Mus musculus: one gene and its partners. The protein of the gene in region 5 binds, or shares a complex with, the protein of the main gene of each other region. Links are inferred from orthologs where the notes say so. Each region holds a gene or a part of one and is shown on either strand. Other genes may lie near its edges. The genes, in order: Ccnd3, Ccnd1, Cdkn1a, Cdkn1b and Cdk4.

Region 1 (3,730 bases), on a different chromosome or scaffold from region 5:
CCAGCTCCTCTGATCTTGGGGTAGGGCTGGGGTTTTTCATGTCATCTGGATACAGGGGAGCGTGCCCACCTAGTGAGGACTCCCACACTCCTGGTTGCCATTGGGGTGCCCCTTTAGAGGCTGGATGCTATTTGGTTATTAGGATAGAGCCCAGGGTGCAAGCTTCAAGCTTCCTTGCCTTACTTCTGGCTCTAGTCCAGGCTGTTTCTGTGGGGTTCTGTAAGAAGCCTGGGGCTGACACCTAGGTCATGGGACAAAGAAGAGGGACAGCTGTCACTGGGGGGGTCCTGGAAGATACTGGGTGGGGCTGACATTTCTACCTCAGTGAGGAGTCAAACCCATGAGTTCCTTCCTGAGATAAAACAATGAAGAAATCCTCCTGTGTGCAACTCGGAAGTGCAGCTCGGGCCAGGGCTAGGAACTTCATATGAGTAGACTGAGGTTGGGGCTCCTAGCCTCCTCCTAAGACCTCTGAATGGTTATGTAGGCTTGGACAGGTTTCTCAGGGGTCATCTGGATTCATCCTGTTTGGCTTGGATGCCCTTGTCTGGAGACAGGACCCACCCGTGATGTCCCACAAAGGGGGGTGTGGGTTGGGTTGGGCAACCTCCTCTTTGAGGAACCTTAGGAGTGGCTTCATGCTCATTTTGTTTAAGAGACCTGGATGCGATGTTGGGGAAGAAGAGATTTCCGAAGCCTGTGGAATTTAGAGTTGGTCTGTTTCAACTCACGCCCGCCTCAGACTCATGGGAGGATTAAGAGGGATTAATTCAGGTCGTTCTAGCACCTAGTAACCATCAATAGATGCTTAAGTGTACGGCCCTAGTTCTTCCCTGCCCCAAACCCGTCATCCCGCGGCAGCAGCCCCTGAAGCCAGAGGCAGAACTGTGACCCTTCTGTCAAATTCTCGGCCCCCTCGGCCGACTGCTGACTCCATGTTCCTTCCCTAACCCCCAGGAGTGGGAGGTGCTGGTCCTGGGGAAGCTCAAGTGGGACCTGGCTGCCGTGATTGCGCACGACTTCCTGGCCTTGATTCTGCACCGCCTGTCTCTGCCCAGTGACCGGCAGGCTTTGGTCAAAAAGCATGCCCAGACCTTTTTGGCCCTCTGTGCTACAGGTAAGAGCCAACCTGGGGGAAATTGTGGGGTTTTTTGGGAAGGATACGTAGTAACAGCCAGGAGATGGTTTCAGTACTCAGACCTGTGTACAGTGATCTGGGAATACTGAATAAAAGTTACTTGCCTAAGGTCTTCATAGCAGGGTTTTGGATATTTTGTTGTTCCTGGTGCCAGGTACACCTTGGGTAGATGGAAAGTTTGTTGTTTGCTCATATCTCAGAGGAGGTCGGGCTGTGGTCTGGTGGGTCAGTGATAGGGTGCATTCCTCAGTCAGATTGCCAACACTGTGAGCACACACCAACCAAACCCCCTCCTCCCTAGGATCTACCTTGTCCCCTTGGCTCAGTGTCACCCCATTCACCACTGGGGGTTCCCAGGATGCAGCCTGGTGTGTTGTAAGATGGCTCCCTTTCTTTTCCCAGATTACACCTTTGCGATGTATCCTCCATCCATGATCGCCACAGGCAGCATTGGGGCAGCCGTGCTAGGCCTAGGCGCCTGCTCTATGTCTGCGGATGAGCTCACAGAGTTGCTGGCCGGGATCACAGGCACTGAAGTGGTAAGTCTCAGCCCCTCGCCCCCCTTCACAAAATTAAAAAAAAAAAAAAAAAAAGCTGTTCCTCTGAATCTCCAGCAGAGGGCACCATCCACCCGGGCCCCCAACTATGATTGTACGCCCTTGCCTGCTTCTCTGGCCTTTTATCTCTGGCTCCAGTCTGGAGAGGAGTGGGTGGGGTGAAGGACACTTGGCATGTAGATACCCTTCTCTTGACATCTCTTGACAAGTGCTGTGTCTCGGACAGGGGTGGGGGACTTGGTGTCAGATGGAGGGTTGCTCTCACACCCTTGCCACATCCTCTTGCCAGTTTCTGAGAACTAAAGACCTGATTCCTGGGCTGGGCTGTGGCCTAACCTCCCCAGACTTCCCAGTGCACAGGGGGTGGCCTTTCCACCTGCTTGCTGTCAGTGCTGTGAGGGAGAGAGAGAGGCCCAAGGATGAATGACCTTGTTTTTTTTTTTTTTTCTAGGACTGCCTGCGAGCCTGCCAGGAACAGATCGAAGCTGCCCTCAGGGAGAGCCTCAGGGAAGCTGCTCAGACAGCCCCCAGCCCAGTGCCCAAAGCCCCCCGGGGCTCTAGCAGCCAGGGGCCCAGTCAGACCAGCACTCCCACAGATGTCACAGCCATTCACCTGTAGCTTGAGACAGGCCCTCTCAGGCCACCAAGCAGAGGAGGGGCCCCTGCCACCCCCTCCCTGCCTCTAGAACAATCCATGCTATATCTGAAGCCCGAGGGGGGCTCTCCTTCCCCCTCACAAAGCCCAAGGGGCCAGGTCCTGCCTATCCCCACAGTGTGCACTAAGGGGTTGCATGGTCATGAGGGGCGTCTTCATGGCCAGTCAGCTCCTCTTCCTTCCCACTCAACCAGCTTGGCTGTCCTGGGCCATGATGGTCAGAGAAATACAAACAGGTAAAATCCACACACCAGCATTTCTTTTGAGTCCCTCTTCTGTCCGGGGCTCCAACCTTCTCAGTTGCCAAAACGCCCCAGTACCTTCCAAAGGTGTTGGCCCTTGCAGGCTCCTTCGGGCATCCCGATAGAAGCTTATGAGGAGCTGCCCTAGATGGCCTCTGTGTAATCCGTACTCCAGCTGCTCTTAGAGGGAACAGCCTAGGCTTTGGCCAGAGCAAGAACCCATACACTGTTGCTTTGCTTGCTGCTTAGCTTCTGTGATTGTGGGGTCTTAAGGGTGCCGTGGTCATTTTAATTTATTGCTTTGAATACAACTGTAAGAGGGTACAGTGAGGCCTGTACCCCACAAGTGGTGGTAACCCTGGCGGTTGCTCTTTCCCTCCCTTCTTCCCCTCTGCTACTGCTTTGTGGCCCAGGAGCTGCTACAGCCTGGGATGGGGGTCACGCCTTCCTCTCCTCACCCCTCCACCTCATCTTCATCAGAGCAGGGTTAGGTTGGGATGGATCGATGCCGTGGAGGTGACAGAGCTATCTGGAGAGAGGGCAAGCCCTAGGGTCACAGGTCTTTCCTCGGGCCACAAGGTTTGGGCTGGTGGCCCATTTCTATCATGCTGCCTTAATAAAGATTTCGGAATAAAGGTGGCTCTTGTGATCCCTGGGGTTGTGGGAGCTGGGGGGCACCAGGCAGCTGTCTTAGGCAGAGCACTTTTCCTGGGAAGGGTTAGAAAGGTGCCGCCTAGGCAGCATGGCCTGCTTTCCTTGTGGACGAATTACAGCGCTAAGGAGCAGCCAGCATTACCCAGAGGGCTCATCGGGAGACAGGGCTGGACCCTTACACAGAACCCTAAGATTCATACGACATCAGGCATGGTGCTTCCTTAGCACACTCAGGGCAGACAGAGGAAGAGGGCTAGCCTGTGCTACATAGTGCAGAACTTTGGCTCAGCGACAGCACTGGCTACTCCTGAGAGCCTGGACTCAATTCCCAGCAGTTAACCATTTTAAACTCCAGTCTCAGGGATCTGATGCTGAGGCACAAAGCTCAGAATGTATTAAAAAAACAAAACCGGATGAATGGGGTTAGGGTGTGGCTGGAAGCACTTCCCCTAGCAGGGAGGCAGGCCCTTCCTCAGTGGTGCTG
Region 2 (4,175 bases), on a different chromosome or scaffold from region 5:
TGAGGGGTTTGCGTCTTGTGTGCCGCCTGGACGCTGTGCGCTCCTTTACCAGTTTCTTCTGGGACACGAAAGTATTCCGTGGGAAATGTGTGTGAATAGTTCGCCTAGCTTGAAGTCGGGTATTGTGAAAACGTTTCCAAAACTAGGGAACTAAATAATGGACGAAGGTGGTGGAACCGCTTTATTCTAAAAATATTTTATTTGAATCTATAAATTATAAACTTAGGAGTCCATTCAGTTAACCACGACCATCTATAGATTCTCTTTAAATATCACCTTATCGGCTCACAAGTTTATCTTGATTCTCACCAGCCGCCCCCCCCCTCCCCCAACTCAAGACTGCAATTCTAAAGGTGGAGAAACACCACCACCCTCAACGAAGCCAATCAAGAAGCTTCCGGTGGTCTGGTTCCTGGAAGGGCGACTAATAACTTGCAGCGATTTACTTTTCTTAATTAAAAAATAAATTAGGAAGGAGCCTATCGTGTCTCAACCTTTTCTTCAACGGTTTATTTTTCTTGGGCAAACCGCCTGCAGTGGAGGAGGGGGATACTGGGGGACCCTGGCCAGGATAAACCGGTCACTGTATGAAGACAAATCTCAGATCCCACCCCACCCCCCCAGCGAGGAGGAATAGATGAAATAATGGCCACCATCTTGAGCTGTTGCTGGAATTTTCGGGGTTTTATTTTATTTTTGAGCGAGCGCATGCTAGGCTGGGGATCCTTTAAAGTTCAGATACCCCTCTGGCCCTTTGCAACCACCCCAGTGCGCCAGGATGGAGCCTGCACGAGAGCTTAGGGCTCGTCTGGCATCTTCGGGTGTTACACAGTTCCTGAATTTTACACGTGTTGATGAAATTGAAAGAAGACAGGGACGCTGGGATTTCTAAGCAATGGGTCCGCCTGTGGGTGCCTCGTGGCGTACTCGGAAACGCACCCATTCTCCCGGTTTAAGAACAGGGTGTCCTTGCACCCCCAGGCTCCCCTTCCATACATTCTTCCTTGGCTTGCGTGTGGCCTGGCCTCCCTCCTAGCTGTCCTCCTGTCCAGAGCCGCCACTACCCCACCTCCACAGGTCTCGGAGGACCCTCTTAGGGAAAGAAGCCCCCCTCCCCCTTGCCCCGCTCTTTCCCAGTTTGGAGAGAAGCAGTCCGAGCGATTTGCATATCTACGAAGGCTGAGGGGGAAGGGTTTGGGCTTGCCCCCCCCCCGCCGCCCCCCCCCCTCACTGCTCCCGAGCCCCCTCCCCCTGCACCCGCCTCGGCCCTCCCCCTCCCCCTTTTCTCTGCCCGGCTTTGATCTCTGCTTAACAACAGTAACGTCACACGGACTACAGGGGAGTTTTGTTGAAGTTGCAAAGTCCTGCAGCCTCCAGAGGGCTGTCGGCGCAGTAGCAGAGAGCTACAGACTCCGCGCGCTCCGGAGACCGGCAGTACAGCGCGAGGCAGCGCGCGTCAGCAGCCGCCACCGGAGCCCAACCGAGACCACAGCCCTCCCCAGACGGCCGCGCCATGGAACACCAGCTCCTGTGCTGCGAAGTGGAGACCATCCGCCGCGCGTACCCTGACACCAATCTCCTCAACGACCGGGTGCTGCGAGCCATGCTCAAGACGGAGGAGACCTGTGCGCCCTCCGTATCTTACTTCAAGTGCGTGCAGAAGGAGATTGTGCCATCCATGCGGAAAATCGTGGCCACCTGGATGCTGGAGGTAAGAGACTTTACAGGCTGCTAGCTTGGGACCCCCTGGCAACTTGTTGCTATCACCAACATCTTCCTCCCTTCTCTTCCCTTCCGTCACGGAGTTTTCCGGGTGCGTTGCTAGGACTCGGTATTCACAAAATAAATAGATTGGGTCCTTTTGAACGAGGAAGGTTTGGGAGTTGGGAAGATGGGAATTCCTTTTCCTGGTGGAGGGCAGTCGGGGAGGGGTGCCTTCGAGGGAGGACGGTGTCAGCGACACCACAGAGGGTGCAGGCTGAGCTTCTGTGGCCCCCGCTTGTGCCCCATTCCTGCAGCGCCTCGGCGGGGGCCGCCCCTGCGCGTTTCGCCAGCTCAAGGGGGGAGGGGGCATAAATTTGATTTTTAAATTAATATCCATGGACACGTATGCAAGGGCCGCTCGTGCCAATATTATGCGCCATCTTTGCTCCTTTATTGCAAAGCAAAAAGTGTTTATTAATAATTGGGGGCAGGGCAGGGAGCGGCAGTAGGGGCGCTGGGACAGGCACGAGGGGCCTCGTGGCGGCCGGGAATCACTAAATAAGACAGTGTGAGGAATATTTGGGGTGGGGGATTCTTTGTTCAAACAGCGGACCTGGGTACCCCGCACACGCTGCCTGGCCCAGAGAAAACGCCAGGCTGCAAGGTCGCGTGGCCCCCTAGTCAATGAGACTGACTGTTGTGCGTGCGGTTCTGGATTTGGAGGAACCTGTCTAGGTCAAACTGGGGGCGGAGGGGGACAAAAGCACATTTTCAGATGTTCAGCAGGAGACTCAGGGGTCCCAAAATATTTTAAAATAATTTTTAAAGTGAGGCATAATGCCCTTGTAGAGGCAAACAGCGCCCGCACCCTGCAAAAGGGGGGCCCCCGGAGTTTGAGTTGCTGGAGCTCACCCCCCGATGTCCACTGAGCTCCTGACCCTCGGCTTGGATCAAGGGTCGTCCGATGGTTATTTTCAGGTCGTTTTTAGGCACCTAGTTATTTTTTAAATATTTTTAAATATTTTTTGAAAAGATGACGTCTGGGAAATGCAGCGCGGCGGCCTGGGACGCCACCATTGTGTCTCGCGTGCGCTCGAGCGGCGCCCAGCCCCCGGCGCCCCGCCAGCCCCGCGGTGGGGTTCTCTGGCTTGTGGCTTCCTAATTTCAACAGGGGACCGGGGTCTCCGTGGCCACCATTGCTTCGACCGGCCCCGCCAGCTGCCCAAAGACTTTCCCTTTCAGTTTCAGGGTGGGTGGGCACTGGGAACCCTCGGAGCAGGAGCGCATCCCAGGGAGTTGGCCACCGGAATCCCTCTCTGTGCAATCTAGGAGAAGGGAATGGGGTCGTATCGAGCGACGCCCCCCTCCCACGTTGACGGTCAGGGTCCGGATCCCCGCAGGTCTGTGAGGAGCAGAAGTGCGAAGAGGAGGTCTTCCCGCTGGCCATGAACTACCTGGACCGCTTCCTGTCCCTGGAGCCCTTGAAGAAGAGCCGCCTGCAGCTGCTGGGGGCCACCTGCATGTTCGTGGCCTCTAAGATGAAGGAGACCATTCCCTTGACTGCCGAGAAGTTGTGCATCTACACTGACAACTCTATCCGGCCCGAGGAGCTGCTGGTAACCACGTAACCCACCACCGACAATCCCTCTTTATGCTGGGTGGTGGGAGCTGCAAATGGCAGGAGATCCAGCCATCCATGGACAGATCTCCTGCCCCACGAAAGGCACCCGCACCGCACCGCACGACACCGAAATGGCAGTGAGCAGAATGCCAACCCATTCTACCTCTGTGCCCGCCCTCTTTCCGTACTGGACTCCCCACCATGTCTGTGGTGAAACCACTCTGAAATGTGGGCGGTGTGCGCCCCCTAGCGACGTGCAGGCCACGGCGCTGGCGGTGGGAGATTCTTTTTGTCCGCAGTCTGTCCCCTTAGTATTTCTACAGGCACATTTTGTTGTTTACCTGTATGGGGTCCCGGGTTGACCCAACTCTTTAGACCTTCTCGAATCAGCCTGCCTTCCTTTTGACCGTGTTCCTCATTCTCTGCAGCAAATGGAACTGCTTCTGGTGAACAAGCTCAAGTGGAACCTGGCCGCCATGACTCCCCACGATTTCATCGAACACTTCCTCTCCAAAATGCCAGAGGCGGATGAGAACAAGCAGACCATCCGCAAGCATGCACAGACCTTTGTGGCCCTCTGTGCCACAGGTAAGGCTCCACCCCCATTCTTCCCAGGAAGAGCGGGCTCCTTGCCACTCCCCCTGGGGTTAAGGCCTCTTTCCTTGCTATCTATTCTGAGCCCAGGGTGCAGATAGTTTGTTGGAGAGATAGATGATACTGGGTGGCACATTCTCTTGGCTAGTATCTTGGAGACCTAACAGAATGACACAGCTTCCCTGTGCCAACCTTTCCACTGCCAGGAAGTGGTACGGCCACAGCATGCTTTCTGAAGAGGTTTTTGCCTCTTTTC
Region 3 (4,006 bases), on a different chromosome or scaffold from region 5:
AAGGATTCTCAAGGTGCAGACCTCAGAGGCCTAAAGGACCTCAGATGGCCTCTGCCTACAGGTAGAGCTTGGGGCCTATTCACATCCTTTAGTACAACTCAGTCATCCTCCTGCCTCTGCCTCTAGTGTGCTGGGATTGCAGTTGTAAGCCACCAAAAGCTATCGTTAATAGATGGCAATATCACATTCTTTTACGGCAGAGCTAATCCAGGTTCAGAATGTGTGTCCAAAGGCACAGGGCTCACAAGCGGGGTTTGAATTCAGACCCTTTTGGTCTAGTATTGATCATTCTCTCGTCTTCTCACCTTGAGGGGCATGACCAGAGGACTCCATTAAAATCAGCTGGAAAAGCTTTTTTATTAAATATAGACTGAGCTCCATGTTATGGGGAGAGTCTTTAATCCCAGCACTCCACCAGAGGCACGTGATCCTTATGAGTTCCAGGCCACTGGGCCAGCCTGTCTATATAGTACTGGTAGCTGGGGCCATTTTGTAAGCTTGTCTCTCTGTCTCTGTCTCTCTTTCACACACACACAGAGACAGAGAGAGAGATCTATATAGATATAGAAATATAGATTGGCTCATTTCCCCAGACAAACTGAGCCGAAAAACAAGTTTGGTGCCCTTCCCCAGACGGTAGCTCACAGGGGCCAGAGGAAGGAAGGGAAGACACCAATGGACTCGGCTAAGGCTGGATAGTCCCCAGTTTTTCATAGCTGAAGATAAGACCAGGAACCCAAGAGGGGCACGATCTCCACCTTGTCTCTCAAGGGCCACGCCTCCCTAATAGTCCGCTAGCACACCCTGCTAAAATCACTTGTATCTGGCCATCAGGCATATTTTAATTCCCTTTAAGCCGCGGTGGGGGTGGCAGAAGCCCGTGGTGCCACCCGCGCCTAGCCGGCCTTGCAGTCCTCACTGATGCCGGTAGGGGGCGCTGTGCACTCAGGAAATGGCGCTCGGTAGGCGGCGCGTAGGCCGAGCAAGGAGTGGTGAGTCAGTTTCCTGCCCGGCGCTGCCCGCCCGCCAAAACTGCTTGGGCACCGGAGCTGCGCGTCACCCTGGGGTGGAGAGAGGAGAGGAAAGGAGGGGGACCCCGGGCCACAAAACACGTCACGATGAGCCCAGGCTTCCTAAATTCCCGCCTATGTTGGGAAACCAGACTGAGCGCGCGCGCGCGCACGCATACACACACACACACACACGCACGTACACAGACACACACACACACACACATACGCACGCACGCACACACGCACGCACGGACACTCGAGAGCAAAGAAAGTGCTCTTAGCTCTGGCCCCCTCCACCTTGATCTCCACGCCCAAAGCACGCGATGAGTCAGATCCCTGGAAAATAAAAATAGATGAGGGCGAGGACAACAAAAAACCGCCTGAGTGTCCTCTCTGAAACGCGACGTAGGGGACAGAGGAAGCTGCCAGCGCGCCCCCAAATGCCAAACCCAAGCCCAAAGTATTTCCCGCACGACCAGGGTGCAAGTGTAGCCCTTGTCCCCGGAGGTTCCGAGTGGAATGGATGTGCCCTAGTGGGCGCACTCAGCCTGGTCACCTTCCTACACTGGGTGTGGACTGGGTCGAGGGCCCCAGCCCCGGGGCGTCTGATGTACGGCACCCGTAAGCCTCACTCCGCGAGGATACCGGCCGCTCTACAGTGCGGGCTCCTCTCGCGCCCCACGGTCACTGGTCCGGGTCGTGGTGGGCGCGGTGGGTGGGACCCTTTGCGCTTCCCGGGCTGGCAGGGTGGACAGGACCCGCCCAGACTCCCTGTCCCCGAGGGCGCGCCGCCGAGCGGGGACCGGACACCGCGTCCTGGACCTCCCCGTGTCCCGGGTTCCCTGGGAACATACTGTGCCCGCCAAATAGGTCACTGTGCCGCGCGGGGGAGGGGACGGGGCAGGAACGAGGCTGTACCCGGGCAGGGAAAGGGGCTTCTGGGCTGCCACTGACCCATCCCCAGTTGTGGCGCGATTCTGGTCTCAATCCAGTGCCCGGGGTCTCCTTGTCACAATGAGTCACCTCCTCGCCTGTCCTCTAGGACGTGCCCAGGCACGATCCCGAGGGCGGAGGACACAGCTCGCGCTGACCTCAGAGCCCAGTGGGGTGGTGGCTACCGCGAAACAGGGCACTTGGTTCACAAGGACCGGGGATCCGGCGGCACCCATGGGATCGGAGAACCGCTCTGCGCTAAGCTCTAGATAGACTCGCCGAAGCTTGTCACAACCGCCACCCAGGACCCATCTCGGGGCACCGTGAGCTTCATTCTCACGCTTTGGGCGAGCCGCACCTGGAATCCCTAGAAACATTGGCAACCAGAAGCGAGCTCCCGGTAGCCGATCCCCGCCAGCCATCGCTCGGACCCGGTCTCCAAGGACTGGAAGAGTGGCTGCCATCCGTGGTCCTGGAGTTCAGACTCTGTATGCCGAGTCCGCGACATAGCCTGACCCTCGTCACACTCCAACAAACGAAGCCTTCAGCCACCACGGACGCTCAGACCCACACCCGTCATCCACCTGCCGCGGACACACCTGTGACTCTGGCGGGCACGCACAAATACACATATACACACACAGGTGATCCACTCATCACCACACACACACACACACACACACACACACACTTCTGGGGACACCCACTGGGCTCAGCGCATTGCTACGGGGAAGAACTATTGTTCCCTGCCACGAAGCTCTCACCTCTGAATGTCTGGATATCGCTGTGGATCTGCGCCTGACTCCAATTCCCCTAGACTCTGACACCGCGGCGGCTCACACCTCTCGGCTGCTGCAGTTGGCGTCGAGCTGCCTCCTTATAGCGTCGGCCCAGGCCCCGCCCCCTCAGAGGCAGGACCAACCCACTCCTTCACCGATCCCGGGGACTCGCTGGCCCGCCCTCCCCTCTGGGAATCTAAGCCCGCGCCAGACAGCTAGAACCGGCGCGCGTTAAGAGGGCGCGCCCTCCCCTCCCCCACACCTGGGCTATTCTCTTGTCACGCAGCGCACCAGCAGAGCCACATACATCTATGAACAACAGTACAGTTAGAGCTGAGTGAGTGTTTATGGGTCTGTCCCTGACCAACTGTGGGAAGGACTAACTCTTTTCCAGATCACTGATATTAGTAAATAAAATCCTGGGTTTCGGGAGGTGGGTCTGTTGGTACAGTGTTTGCCTAACTTGCTGGAAGTGAAGCCCTGGGTTGGAGCTCCAGGGCCCCATAAACTGGGCATGCGGGGTCACGTCTGTAATAACAGCGCCCAGTGGGGGGTGAGGAGGGGGAAATAGGCATTCAAGGTCGTTTTGACAGCTACCTATTCCGATGGAGACCAACTTGAAATATGTGACACTGTTTCAAATATAAATAAATTGATCATTTGAGTATGATAGCAAAAGCCTGGAATCCTATACTTGGGAGATTGAGGCACGAGGGGCGTTACAGGTTCAAGACCAGCCTGGGCTATCCATTGAGACCCTCTCAAAAACAAAACAAGCCCATAAATAATAAAAAATAGTTTAAAATCCCAAGAAGTCCCACTATGTCTGGAGATTTTTTTCCCCCTCCTCCCAGAAGCCCCTCGGACATCGGGTCCAGAACGCGATCATTTCCTCCCTGTCTCACAGACGAGGAAAGCAGTTCCACAGAAGGAAAGGATGCTGTCAACCGCCTCAGAAATCGGGGAGATTGAGTCCAGTTCTCAGACCACGGACTACCAAGAAAAACAGCCGCCAGGCTCCTTACCTCCCCTCTCCCCTCTTCAGAAGCCAGCATGTGAACATTTCTCACACCATAATACATCCTGCAAGTGAGAGCATCAAGACCTGACTGGGACCACACTAATGGCTACCTGCTGACCTCTGGCAAGCTGCCCAGAGTACTCTGCTTGCAGATTTCTTTCTCTGGGTCCAAAATGAGGGAAATGTCTAATACTCCCCCTCCCAAGATCCAGACAGTCCACTAAAATGACATTGATAAAGGACAATTCTAGAAACATCTA
Region 4 (4,086 bases), on a different chromosome or scaffold from region 5:
TGGTTTTCTTCATAAGGAGCTTATAAACTATTATAAGTAGTTAGAGCATATGAATAGTCAATCTATGTAAATTTAGGGGCTGGGTTACTCTAATTAGGCAAGTGGGGTGATGAGATTTTTGACACATGGAAAAATCCACACTTGTGTTGGACCTTCTCAGTTGGTCCTAACATCTACTATCCATTTCCCCTATAAACATCCAAACCGTCCTGTTCCAGCAAATTAGCATACGGTGCTGACGTGTGGGAAGGCTGCTTCCTCTAGCTGTTCATTTAACTTCTGCTTTGTAACCTCAGGGTTAAAATCAATTCTGTGGGAGCATTAGTACTTCTGAACTTTCCAGTCTAATTTTTTTTTTAAGTATGAAGTTCCTTTCTCTCCAAAATTTACCAGCATACAAGGCACAACTTTAAAAAAAAATAAAAAAGTACCCAGAGGTGATGGCACACAACCTCTAATCTCAGCACTCAGGAGGCAGAGACAATACAGATCTCTGTGAGTTCGAAGCCAGCGTGGTCTACAGAGCAATTCCCAGAATAGCCCGAGCTGTTTGTTACACAGAGAAACCCTATCTCAAAAAACCAAAAACCAAAACAAAAGCAAAAGATAAAAAGAACTCGAGCCACGGCAGCTCTATTCACACTCCTAATCAAACGTGCACTATGGGTACCTAGTTTTTCTCTTAAGAACATACATGTAAGTATATATTTGCCATTTTTCTACAGTTCAAATGGTTCAAAATAGGCTATTGGCTCAAAACGAACCTCTGGGAAATGGGTTCTCATGAACTGAGACTGGAAAGGAAAACTGTCATTCCCAGCCTAAGTTTTAGTGGGATTCATAAGGATACGACCGTCCCTATCCTTTGGGGCCTTGGTGGCAAGTTCTTGCTTGGGAACCTCATTCTGATTCCACTTTAAGGTAAATATCTTGGGGTGCAAATACTGCATTATAGTCCCCTCAAGTGATTCCAGCCTTCCCCAGTGTTAATTTTTTTGATCAAGGAAAGTAATTCCTCCTGGCAGGCAACTAATCTGCCAGCAGTCCTGGGGTCTGCAGGCCCCCCGGGGAGCGCAGCCCAGATGGGGTGTCAGTTTTGTGTTCTTCCTCATTAACCCACCGGAGCTGTTTACGTCTGGCGTCGAAGGCCGGGCTTCTTGGGCGTCTGCTCCACAGTGCCAGCGTTCGGGGAACCGTCTGAAACATTTTCTTCTGTTCTGTTGGCCCTTTTGTTTTGCGAAGAAGAATCTAAGAGGGGGGCAAGGGGAAATTTTTAAGAGAACACACACAAACCATCTTTATTATCGACAACAATGGCTGACAGAAGTAGGCCCAAGGGATGAACAACCCACTCACTACCTCCACCCACGACCCCTGGACCCGTCATCCCCGGTAGCATCTAAGGACACAAAATAAGGTTGTTCCCACTAACACAAGGAGTATTCTACACCCCACGTCTCTTCCCCACCCCCATCCCCACCCCCACCCCCCCACCCCAGCCAAGGAGGAGGCAGTTGGTAAACATCCGAACTTTTGTCACGTATCTACAGCTGGCTAGAGGGGAGGAACTGTGATGCGTTCGGCTACGGAAGTTATCACATCTTACTATCTCCGGCTTCTGACTTCAAAATCATAAACAGGGCAAGCAGTCGGATAGGGGGTATGTCAAACCTAAGCTTCAAACAAGTTCGATTTCCCAGAGCTAAAGCAGAACACGCTGGAGAAAGCAAGTGAACAGGGTCTAGTAAAGGGGCGCTTACGGAGACAGACAGACAGACAGACATTTTAAGTTTTCCAAAGAGTCACTACCTTCTGCAGCAGGTCGCTTCCTCATCCCTGGACACTGCTCCGCTAACCCAGCCGGATTGTCTGACGAGTCAGGCATTTGGTCCACCAAATGCCGGTCCTCAGAGTTTGCCTGAGACCCAATTAAAGGCACCGCCTGGCGGCTCCCGCTGACATCCTGGCTCTCCTGCGCCAGCACCTTGCAGGCGCTCTTGGGGGGGCGCGGGGGCCTGTAGTAGAACTCGGGCAAGCTGCCCCTCTCCACCTCCTGCCACTCGTATCTGCCCTCCAGGGGCTTATGATTCTGAAAGTCGAAATTCCACTTGCGCTGACTCGCTTCTTCCATATCCCGGCAGTGCTTCTCCAAGTCCCGGGTTAGTTCTTCATGATTGACCGGGCCGAAGAGATTTCTGCAGGCGGAAGGCTTGGGGTGCTCCGCTTGTCTGGCGTCCATCCGCTCCAGGCTCGGGCTCCCGTTAGACACTCTCACGTTTGACATCTTCCTCCTCGGGCGGGTGTGGACCACCGCCTCGCCTCTCTCCGGAAAAAAAAAAATGAAATAAACAACAAAACCGAACAAAAGCGAAACGCCACGGATGGAGCGCAAAACCCTCTTCGAAGTTCTGCGACTGCACACAGACAGTCAAATGGAGCAGAGCCAGGCGAGCGACCGCCCGAGCCGCAGTAGCGCGCAGGTCTGGGGAAGAGAGGCGCAGGGACACCCCAGCCGCCGCGCAGCTCGAGGCTTCAGTGATCAAGTGTACTGGAGGGCGGGGAAGGGAGGGGAGGAGGCAGGAGGAGGTGGCAAACAGTCGGAGCGTAGGCTGGGGCGAGCCCGTGTGTCCCGCGAACGCAGCCCCTCTCCAAACCTTGCCGCCGCGCGAGTCTCGGAGCCGCGAGTGAGTCGGGACAAGGGATGAGGGGGGAAAACACCCCAAAAGCACGAGCCCCCCTCCTTTTTTAGTTGCCCAATATGGCGGTGGAAGGGAGGCTGACGAAGAAGAAGATGATTGACACTGCAAGTCTATTTAAACAGAGGAGGAGCTCCATTGGTCTCGGCGCCGGGAGCCGCTCCGCCCAGGCTGGCGAGCGCGCTCTTAAGGTGGCCCCGGGCGCGGCGCCGCCGCCTCTCCGCGCTCCCGAGCGCGCCGCCTCCCCGTAGCGCCGCCAGGACATTGGCTGGTCGCGTGACTACTCGGAGGTGTACGACTGCCAACAAACCTGCTCTGGCTGGCCCCGGAGAAATTAAAAATAAGACAAACAAACTAGCCAAACGGCCGGAGAGCTGGGGAGGGGCCAGCGCGGCGGCCAGGCAGGGACCCGGGGATCTAGGTCCCGGCGCTGCAGAGCTGCGCTGGCAGGCGCGTCACCGCTCCCGACTGCGACCTCCAGGTCTTTGCCCGCGAAACCTAGGGCCTGGACCAGTGGGCTCCTAGGTCGCTGGCGGCTTATTAGGAGCTTCGGTGGCTAGTTCAGCCCACCTGCATTCGCCGAGGTGGGAATGGAGGAGGGTATGCGAGAGATTCAGGAAACCTTGGCTCAGGGCCTGGGGCAGCCCACCCACCCCCACCCGGCAGGGTGCCTTAGCTGGGGTGCGGAATCGGCCGCTTAGCCTGACCCCAGAAGTCTCTGCTATGTAGGACAGGCCAGGAGGTGGTTTCAAAAAGAAGCCAGGACTGACCGCTCTTATCAGGGTGTTTCTGAATCCAAGCGCTTCCACCGTAGGATCTCGAGATTGAAAACCCCCAGTGCTCTCCCAAGCCTCTCTTTAGAGCCGTCCCAGACAGAAATCAGAAAAAGCCAGTTCTGATTTTCTTGGTTCCTAAGCACAGTGAAAGCCATTGCTATAGCGTGTGGGAACTCGCCTTTATACCCTTATGTTCTTTCCCGGGCGAAGCCGTTCCCTCCACCTGAGTCCAGACGCCAACTACAACAGTGCCTTCCTTCTCTTTTTTCTCCCACCAGCCTGTTGCTTCCAACCTACTCAGTACAATATTCAAATACAAGCAAATACTTTTAGAGAGCTGCAGGTTGTTAAAGGGCGAAAACACTTTCCTAAGGATCTAAGACTAGATTTGCAAGTGATTTATAATACCACCACCACGGTATTACCAACATCTAGTAATGTTGGGTGGGTTTTTTTCAGCTCCTTGGGCAACTTCACATTTCTCTATCACTGCTGAGCACAGTGACAGAAGTTAAAACAGAATAGCCAGGCCTGTCGTATCTCAGAGTTCAGTGAGATTTTAAGGGCTTTGCCCACTAGTATTCCCAAACAGTCTTGGTTTGCGCTAAACACAA
Region 5 (4,044 bases):
GTGAGTTCCAGGACAGCCAGGGCTACACAGAGAAACCCTGTCTCGAAAATCCAAAAAACCAACCAAACAAACAAACAAAAAAACACTAACTCCAATCCCCAGCACCCCCACCCCAAATCAATTTAAAATAGCTCTAGATTTTAGGCAATTTTTCACAAATGGGAACATGGTCCTTCATCCCATATCCCTAAGAGGTGGGAGACAATAAAGGAGTTGGAGCAGACGAAATCGTCACACAGATCTACCTCTGTCTAACTAGATTTCTGTAGGCAGACCATTTAGGAAACGCTGATCAGATCAAGAATATGTTCTAAGCTGGACTGGGGAAAAAATAGGAACATGACCCCAACGAGGAGTTGCAGGTTTGCAAAAGGACACGTCATCTTCCAGCAATGTGGTGGTGACTGACCCTGGACATGCTTACCCTGTCATCTGTTTATGCAATCACATATATATGTAGCAATCTTAGTGTAAAGACTCTTGTAAAATCAAGAACCCCTATTTTCAATCACTTCTTGCTGCTTTTAATATTCCTGGGGAGGTTTACAGGTTGGGAAGAGGGAGGGCATTAAATTGCTGCCCCCCCATACCCATACAGTGGCTTATTATATTTCCTTCTGTCCATCTTTTAATCCTAGTTTCCTCCTCAGATAGAAATTATTTATTCCCTGTTTTATAAGACCACAATTACCTATACTAGTTATCTTTATCATCACTTCAAAGGGCGAGTGACTGAGACACCAAAACAAAAACATCGCATACCAACTGGAAGGAAGCACTTAGTAAAATTGTGTTGAATGAATGAGTAAAAGAAAGACACAAATACGAATGTTTCCCCATGGCGGTGGAGTGGAAATGTTACAGCACCATTTCTGGCACCAGGATCTCCCACTAACACCTCGACCTCCCGCCCACTCAGAGACCCATAGTGAGACTGAAGATGCGCTCTGGCTCGGCCTTGAGCCCAGAGTTGAGAGCTGGTTGGCCCGGTTGCCATGACACCGCCTTGTGCTCCACCCTCTCTCGCCCCCACACACCCCCTCGGCAGTCAGGGTATGGCAGCCAGTCACGTGCCACACAGCGTAACCACACCTCTGCTTCCCAGCGCAAAGTCAAGGGGTCACGTGGGATAGCAACAGGTCACGTGGCCGTCAGGGCCCCGCCCCCTTCCCCACCACACCCCTCCCATCAAAGCAGCCCGGGTTGCCCACTGCGCAAGGGTGAAGATCACGTGTCCAGAACGTCCGGCGCCCGCCCCGCCCCCCGGGTTTCCGCGCGCCTCTCTGGCAGCTGGTCACATGGTGAGGGTGGGGGTGAGGGGGCCTCTCTAGCTCGCGGCCTGTGTCTATGGTCTGGCCCGAAGCGTCCAGCTGCCCGGGACCGATCCCCGGTGTATGGCGCCGCAGGAACCGGCTCCCGGGCCCAGATAAAGGGCCACCTCCAGAGCTCTTAGCCGAGCGTAAGGTGAGTGCAGTCTCATCCAGGATCGGGGGACCAGTCCCCGCCACCACCAGCACCCTCCAGCTCCCCACGCGTGCGCGTCGCTGGCTGATTATGGAAGGTGGCCCAATGGCGGGAAGTGGGGCCTTTGTGGTCGCGGGCAAGGGTGTGATTTTGGAGAGTGAAGTGCAGAATCTTCGGTGCAAACCCTGTGCACTGTGTGATCCTCTTTGTGCCTAGTGCGATGTCCTCCGAAAGGAAAGAAAGCATTCTTTTTCTTCCTCCGGGACAAAACGTGGCCGGAGGAGGAGGGTTTGATGGGAGTCTTTGTGTTACCTAAGGCGCGGGCCCTGGAAGTGTGGAGGGGTGGGATGTTGCTGATCGCGTTGGCGAGGTCTTGTGCAGGAGTTCCTTTGTTACCGCCGGGTCATCCCCCTCCTAACCGTGAGAGTGAGTTTGGTATTAGAAGCCTCTGTGATTGTAGATCCCCTGCTTCGAGAATGGCTGCCACTCGATATGAACCCGTGGCTGAAATTGGTGTCGGTGCCTATGGGACGGTGTACAAAGCCCGAGATCCCCACAGTGGCCACTTTGTGGCCCTCAAGAGTGTGAGAGTTCCTAATGGAGGAGCAGCTGGAGGGGGCCTTCCCGTCAGCACAGTTCGTGAGGTGGCCTTGTTAAGGAGGCTGGAGGCCTTTGAACATCCCAATGTTGTACGGTGAGAAGGTTGGATTGGGAGTGGGGCGGAGAGGACAATAGGACCCGTAAGGCAGGAGTGGGACCCTAGAACGCCAGAGGCCACGTTGAGACAAAGGGGACGACTAGCTGGTGATCATTTGTTCTTCTCAGGCTGATGGATGTCTGTGCTACTTCCCGAACTGATCGGGACATCAAGGTCACCCTAGTGTTTGAGCATATAGACCAGGACCTGAGGACATACCTGGACAAAGCACCTCCACCGGGCCTGCCGGTTGAGACCATTAAGGTGAGTAGGGGTGGGGCTGGGGGCGAGGGTGGACCGATCTTTGCAATAGAAGTTGTTGGGATTTTGAAGTGATACATAGTTTCCGGTGTTCTGTGCTTTCTTCTTGAAAAACAGGATCTAATGCGTCAGTTTCTAAGCGGCCTGGATTTTCTTCATGCAAACTGCATTGTTCACCGGGACCTGAAGCCAGAGAACATTCTAGTGACAAGTAATGGGACCGTCAAGCTGGCTGACTTTGGCCTAGCTAGAATCTACAGCTACCAGATGGCCCTCACGCCTGTGGTCAGTAAAAGGCGTTAGCCGACTAGGTTGTGATAGGGGTAGCTCTTGGTGGTTTCCCATAGCAACTGAGGAGTCTTGTACATGAAGTTTTCAGAGCCAGGCAGGTCTGGTTCGTGAGGTCGACACTCACTCATTTCTACTATTCTCTTCAGGTGGTTACGCTCTGGTACCGAGCTCCTGAAGTTCTTCTGCAGTCTACATACGCAACACCCGTGGACATGTGGAGCGTTGGCTGTATCTTTGCAGAGATGTTCCGTCGGAAGTATGGGACTAGAAACTTTTTGTTGTTAATGGTACAGGGTTAGTCCTGGCCGTAGATCAGGTTGGCCTTGAACTCACAGAGCCCTGGGATTAAAGGCATGCGTTACCACCGCCCGTATGGGACTTGAAGCTCTTAACCTACCTTCAGTTGCACATAGCTTTGGCTGCTTGTCTTACTGTGCTAGAGGTTGAAATCAGAACTCACACACACTCAGTAAATGCTTCCGTGCCACTGAACTTCACACTCCGTCGGCCCCCAAGTCTTTTACAGACATGCCTGTTCTTGACCATTCGCTTTTGTGCATGTATGGTACGGGACATCCAGCCTACCCAGTTCATACTGACCACCTTGCCTAGAACCAAGAAACCATATAGGCATGCCCTGGATTTAGGATCTTCCCGTTCCTCGTCTCCACACTCTCTAGTTGGGTCTACATAACGGTTACTCCTCAATTTTTTTTTTCTTTTAAAAATGTATTTATTTCCATGTATGTGAGTACACTCACTGTCTTCAGACACACCAGAAAAGGACTTCAGATTACATTACAGATGGTTGTGAACCACCGTGTGGTTGCTGGGAATTGAACTCAGGACCTCCGGAAGAGCAGTCTTATCTGCTGAGCCGTCTCTCCAGCCCCCACTCCCCTATTTTTGATATAACACATACTTTGAGTCTTTTTCTGCCTTAGGCCTCTCTTCTGTGGAAACTCTGAAGCCGACCAGTTGGGGAAAATCTTTGAGTAAGTATTTGATAAGGAAAAGGAAAGACATTTCCTGCTGCCGCGGAGACAGGAGCTGGGAAAGGCCCCTCCTAACAGAGTTGTCCTGTCCCCACAGTCTCATTGGATTGCCTCCAGAAGACGACTGGCCTCGAGAGGTATCTCTACCTCGAGGAGCCTTTGCCCCCAGAGGGCCTCGGCCAGTGCAGTCAGTGGTGCCAGAGATGGAGGAGTCTGGAGCGCAGCTGCTACTGGTACTGGACCTGGGCGGGGATTGGGTTAAGATAAGAAATACCGTGGCCTGGGGAACTGGCTCAGTGGGTAGAGTTCCTTTGCATAAGTGTGAGGACCTGAGTT

The links.
Region 1: the proteins of Cdk4 (region 5) and Ccnd3 are in contact, whole or in part, in a crystal structure (PDB 7SJ3), measured with the Homo sapiens proteins. The link is inferred for Mus musculus from reciprocal best matches to the Homo sapiens genes CDK4 and CCND3. Residues at the interface, in NP_000066.1 of Homo sapiens: Gly46, Gly47, Gly48, Leu49, Ile51, Thr53, Val54, Arg55, Val57, Ala58, Leu59, Arg61, Arg62, Glu64, Ala65, Phe66, Val77, Ala79, Val89, Asp129, His132, Ala133, Asn134, Cys135, Arg163, Ile164, Tyr165, Ser166, Tyr167, Gln168; in NP_001751.1 of Homo sapiens: His11, Pro13, Arg14, Ala15, Gly16, Pro17, Asp18, Arg20, Leu21, Arg26, Val27, Ser30, Leu31, Arg33, Leu34, Arg37, Tyr38, Glu74, Lys112, Leu113, Arg114, Glu115, Thr116, Pro118, Ile121, Glu122, Pro134, Arg138, Glu141, Val142.
Region 2: the proteins of Cdk4 (region 5) and Ccnd1 are in contact, whole or in part, in a crystal structure (PDB 2W96), measured with the Homo sapiens proteins. The link is inferred for Mus musculus from reciprocal best matches to the Homo sapiens genes CDK4 and CCND1. Residues at the interface, in NP_000066.1 of Homo sapiens: Gly45, Gly48, Leu49, Ile51, Thr53, Val54, Arg55, Val57, Ala58, Leu59, Arg61, Arg62, Ala65, Phe66, Asp76, Val77, Cys78, Ala79, Arg82, Ile87, Val89, Asp129, His132, Ala133, Asn134, Cys135, Ser285, Phe287, Arg288; in NP_444284.1 of Homo sapiens: Leu6, Cys7, Cys8, Glu9, Val10, Thr12, Ile13, Ala30, Lys33, Ala34, Thr37, Phe108, Lys112, Met113, Glu115, Pro118, Leu119, Thr120, Ala121, Leu138, Gln139, Glu141, Leu142, Val145, Asn146, Lys149, Trp150, Asn151, Leu152, Ala153.
Region 3: the proteins of Cdk4 (region 5) and Cdkn1a are in contact, whole or in part, in a crystal structure (PDB 6P8H), measured with the Homo sapiens proteins. The link is inferred for Mus musculus from reciprocal best matches to the Homo sapiens genes CDK4 and CDKN1A. Residues at the interface, in NP_000066.1 of Homo sapiens: Gly18, Thr19, Val20, Tyr21, Lys22, Ala23, Asp25, Val32, Leu34, Ser36, Met75, Asp76, Cys78, Ala79, Thr80, Lys88, Thr90, Val92; in NP_000380.1 of Homo sapiens: Met38, Cys41, Ile42, Ala45, Arg48, Trp49, Phe51, Phe53, Val54, Glu56, Asp62, Phe63, Ala64, Trp65, Glu66, Arg67.
Region 4: the proteins of Cdk4 (region 5) and Cdkn1b are in contact, whole or in part, in a crystal structure (PDB 6P8F), measured with the Homo sapiens proteins. The link is inferred for Mus musculus from reciprocal best matches to the Homo sapiens genes CDK4 and CDKN1B. Residues at the interface, in NP_000066.1 of Homo sapiens: Gly18, Thr19, Val20, Tyr21, Lys22, Ala23, Arg24, Asp25, Pro26, His27, Ser28, His30, Val32, Leu34, Ser36, Met75, Asp76, Cys78, Ala79, Thr80, Ser81, Lys88, Thr90, Val92; in NP_004055.1 of Homo sapiens: Glu53, Ser56, Lys59, Trp60, Phe62, Phe64, Gln65, His67, Lys68, Pro69, Lys73, Tyr74, Glu75, Trp76, Gln77, Glu78, Val79.

Annotation. Positions count from the first base shown.
Region 1 is NC_000083.6:47,596,463-47,600,192, forward strand, and holds the end of Ccnd3 (G1/S-specific cyclin-D3), read left to right. Parts: intron 1-957; coding exon 958-1,117; intron 1,118-1,540; coding exon 1,541-1,677; intron 1,678-2,146; coding exon 2,147-2,314; 3' UTR 2,315-3,227; downstream 3,228-3,730. UniProt on the Homo sapiens protein: Regulatory component of the cyclin D3-CDK4 (DC) complex that phosphorylates and inhibits members of the retinoblastoma (RB) protein family including RB1 and regulates the cell-cycle during G(1)/S transition.
Region 2 is NC_000073.6:144,937,032-144,941,206, reverse strand, and holds the start of Ccnd1 (G1/S-specific cyclin-D1), read left to right. Parts: upstream 1-1,375; 5' UTR 1,376-1,513; coding exon 1,514-1,711; intron 1,712-3,104; coding exon 3,105-3,320; intron 3,321-3,753; coding exon 3,754-3,913; intron 3,914-4,175. UniProt on the Homo sapiens protein: Regulatory component of the cyclin D1-CDK4 (DC) complex that phosphorylates and inhibits members of the retinoblastoma (RB) protein family including RB1 and regulates the cell-cycle during G(1)/S transition.
Region 3 is NC_000083.6:29,092,566-29,096,571, reverse strand, and holds the start of Cdkn1a (cyclin-dependent kinase inhibitor 1), read right to left. Parts: upstream 2,804-4,006; 5' UTR 2,711-2,803; intron 1-2,710. UniProt on the Homo sapiens protein: Plays an important role in controlling cell cycle progression and DNA damage-induced G2 arrest. Involved in p53/TP53 mediated inhibition of cellular proliferation in response to DNA damage.
Region 4 is NC_000072.6:134,919,118-134,923,203, reverse strand, and holds the start of Cdkn1b (cyclin-dependent kinase inhibitor 1B), read right to left. Parts: upstream 2,804-4,086; 5' UTR 2,285-2,803; coding exon 1,810-2,284; intron 1,249-1,809; coding exon 1,130-1,248; 3' UTR 1,121-1,129; intron 1-1,120. UniProt on the Homo sapiens protein: Important regulator of cell cycle progression. Inhibits the kinase activity of CDK2 bound to cyclin A, but has little inhibitory activity on CDK2 bound to SPDYA. Involved in G1 arrest. Potent inhibitor of cyclin E- and cyclin A-CDK2 complexes.
Region 5 is NC_000076.6:127,062,296-127,066,339, forward strand, and holds the start of Cdk4 (cyclin-dependent kinase 4), read left to right. Parts: upstream 1-1,239; 5' UTR 1,240-1,464; intron 1,465-1,924; 5' UTR 1,925-1,940; coding exon 1,941-2,158; intron 2,159-2,289; coding exon 2,290-2,425; intron 2,426-2,539; coding exon 2,540-2,707; intron 2,708-2,859; coding exon 2,860-2,969; intron 2,970-3,657; coding exon 3,658-3,708; intron 3,709-3,805; coding exon 3,806-3,941; intron 3,942-4,044.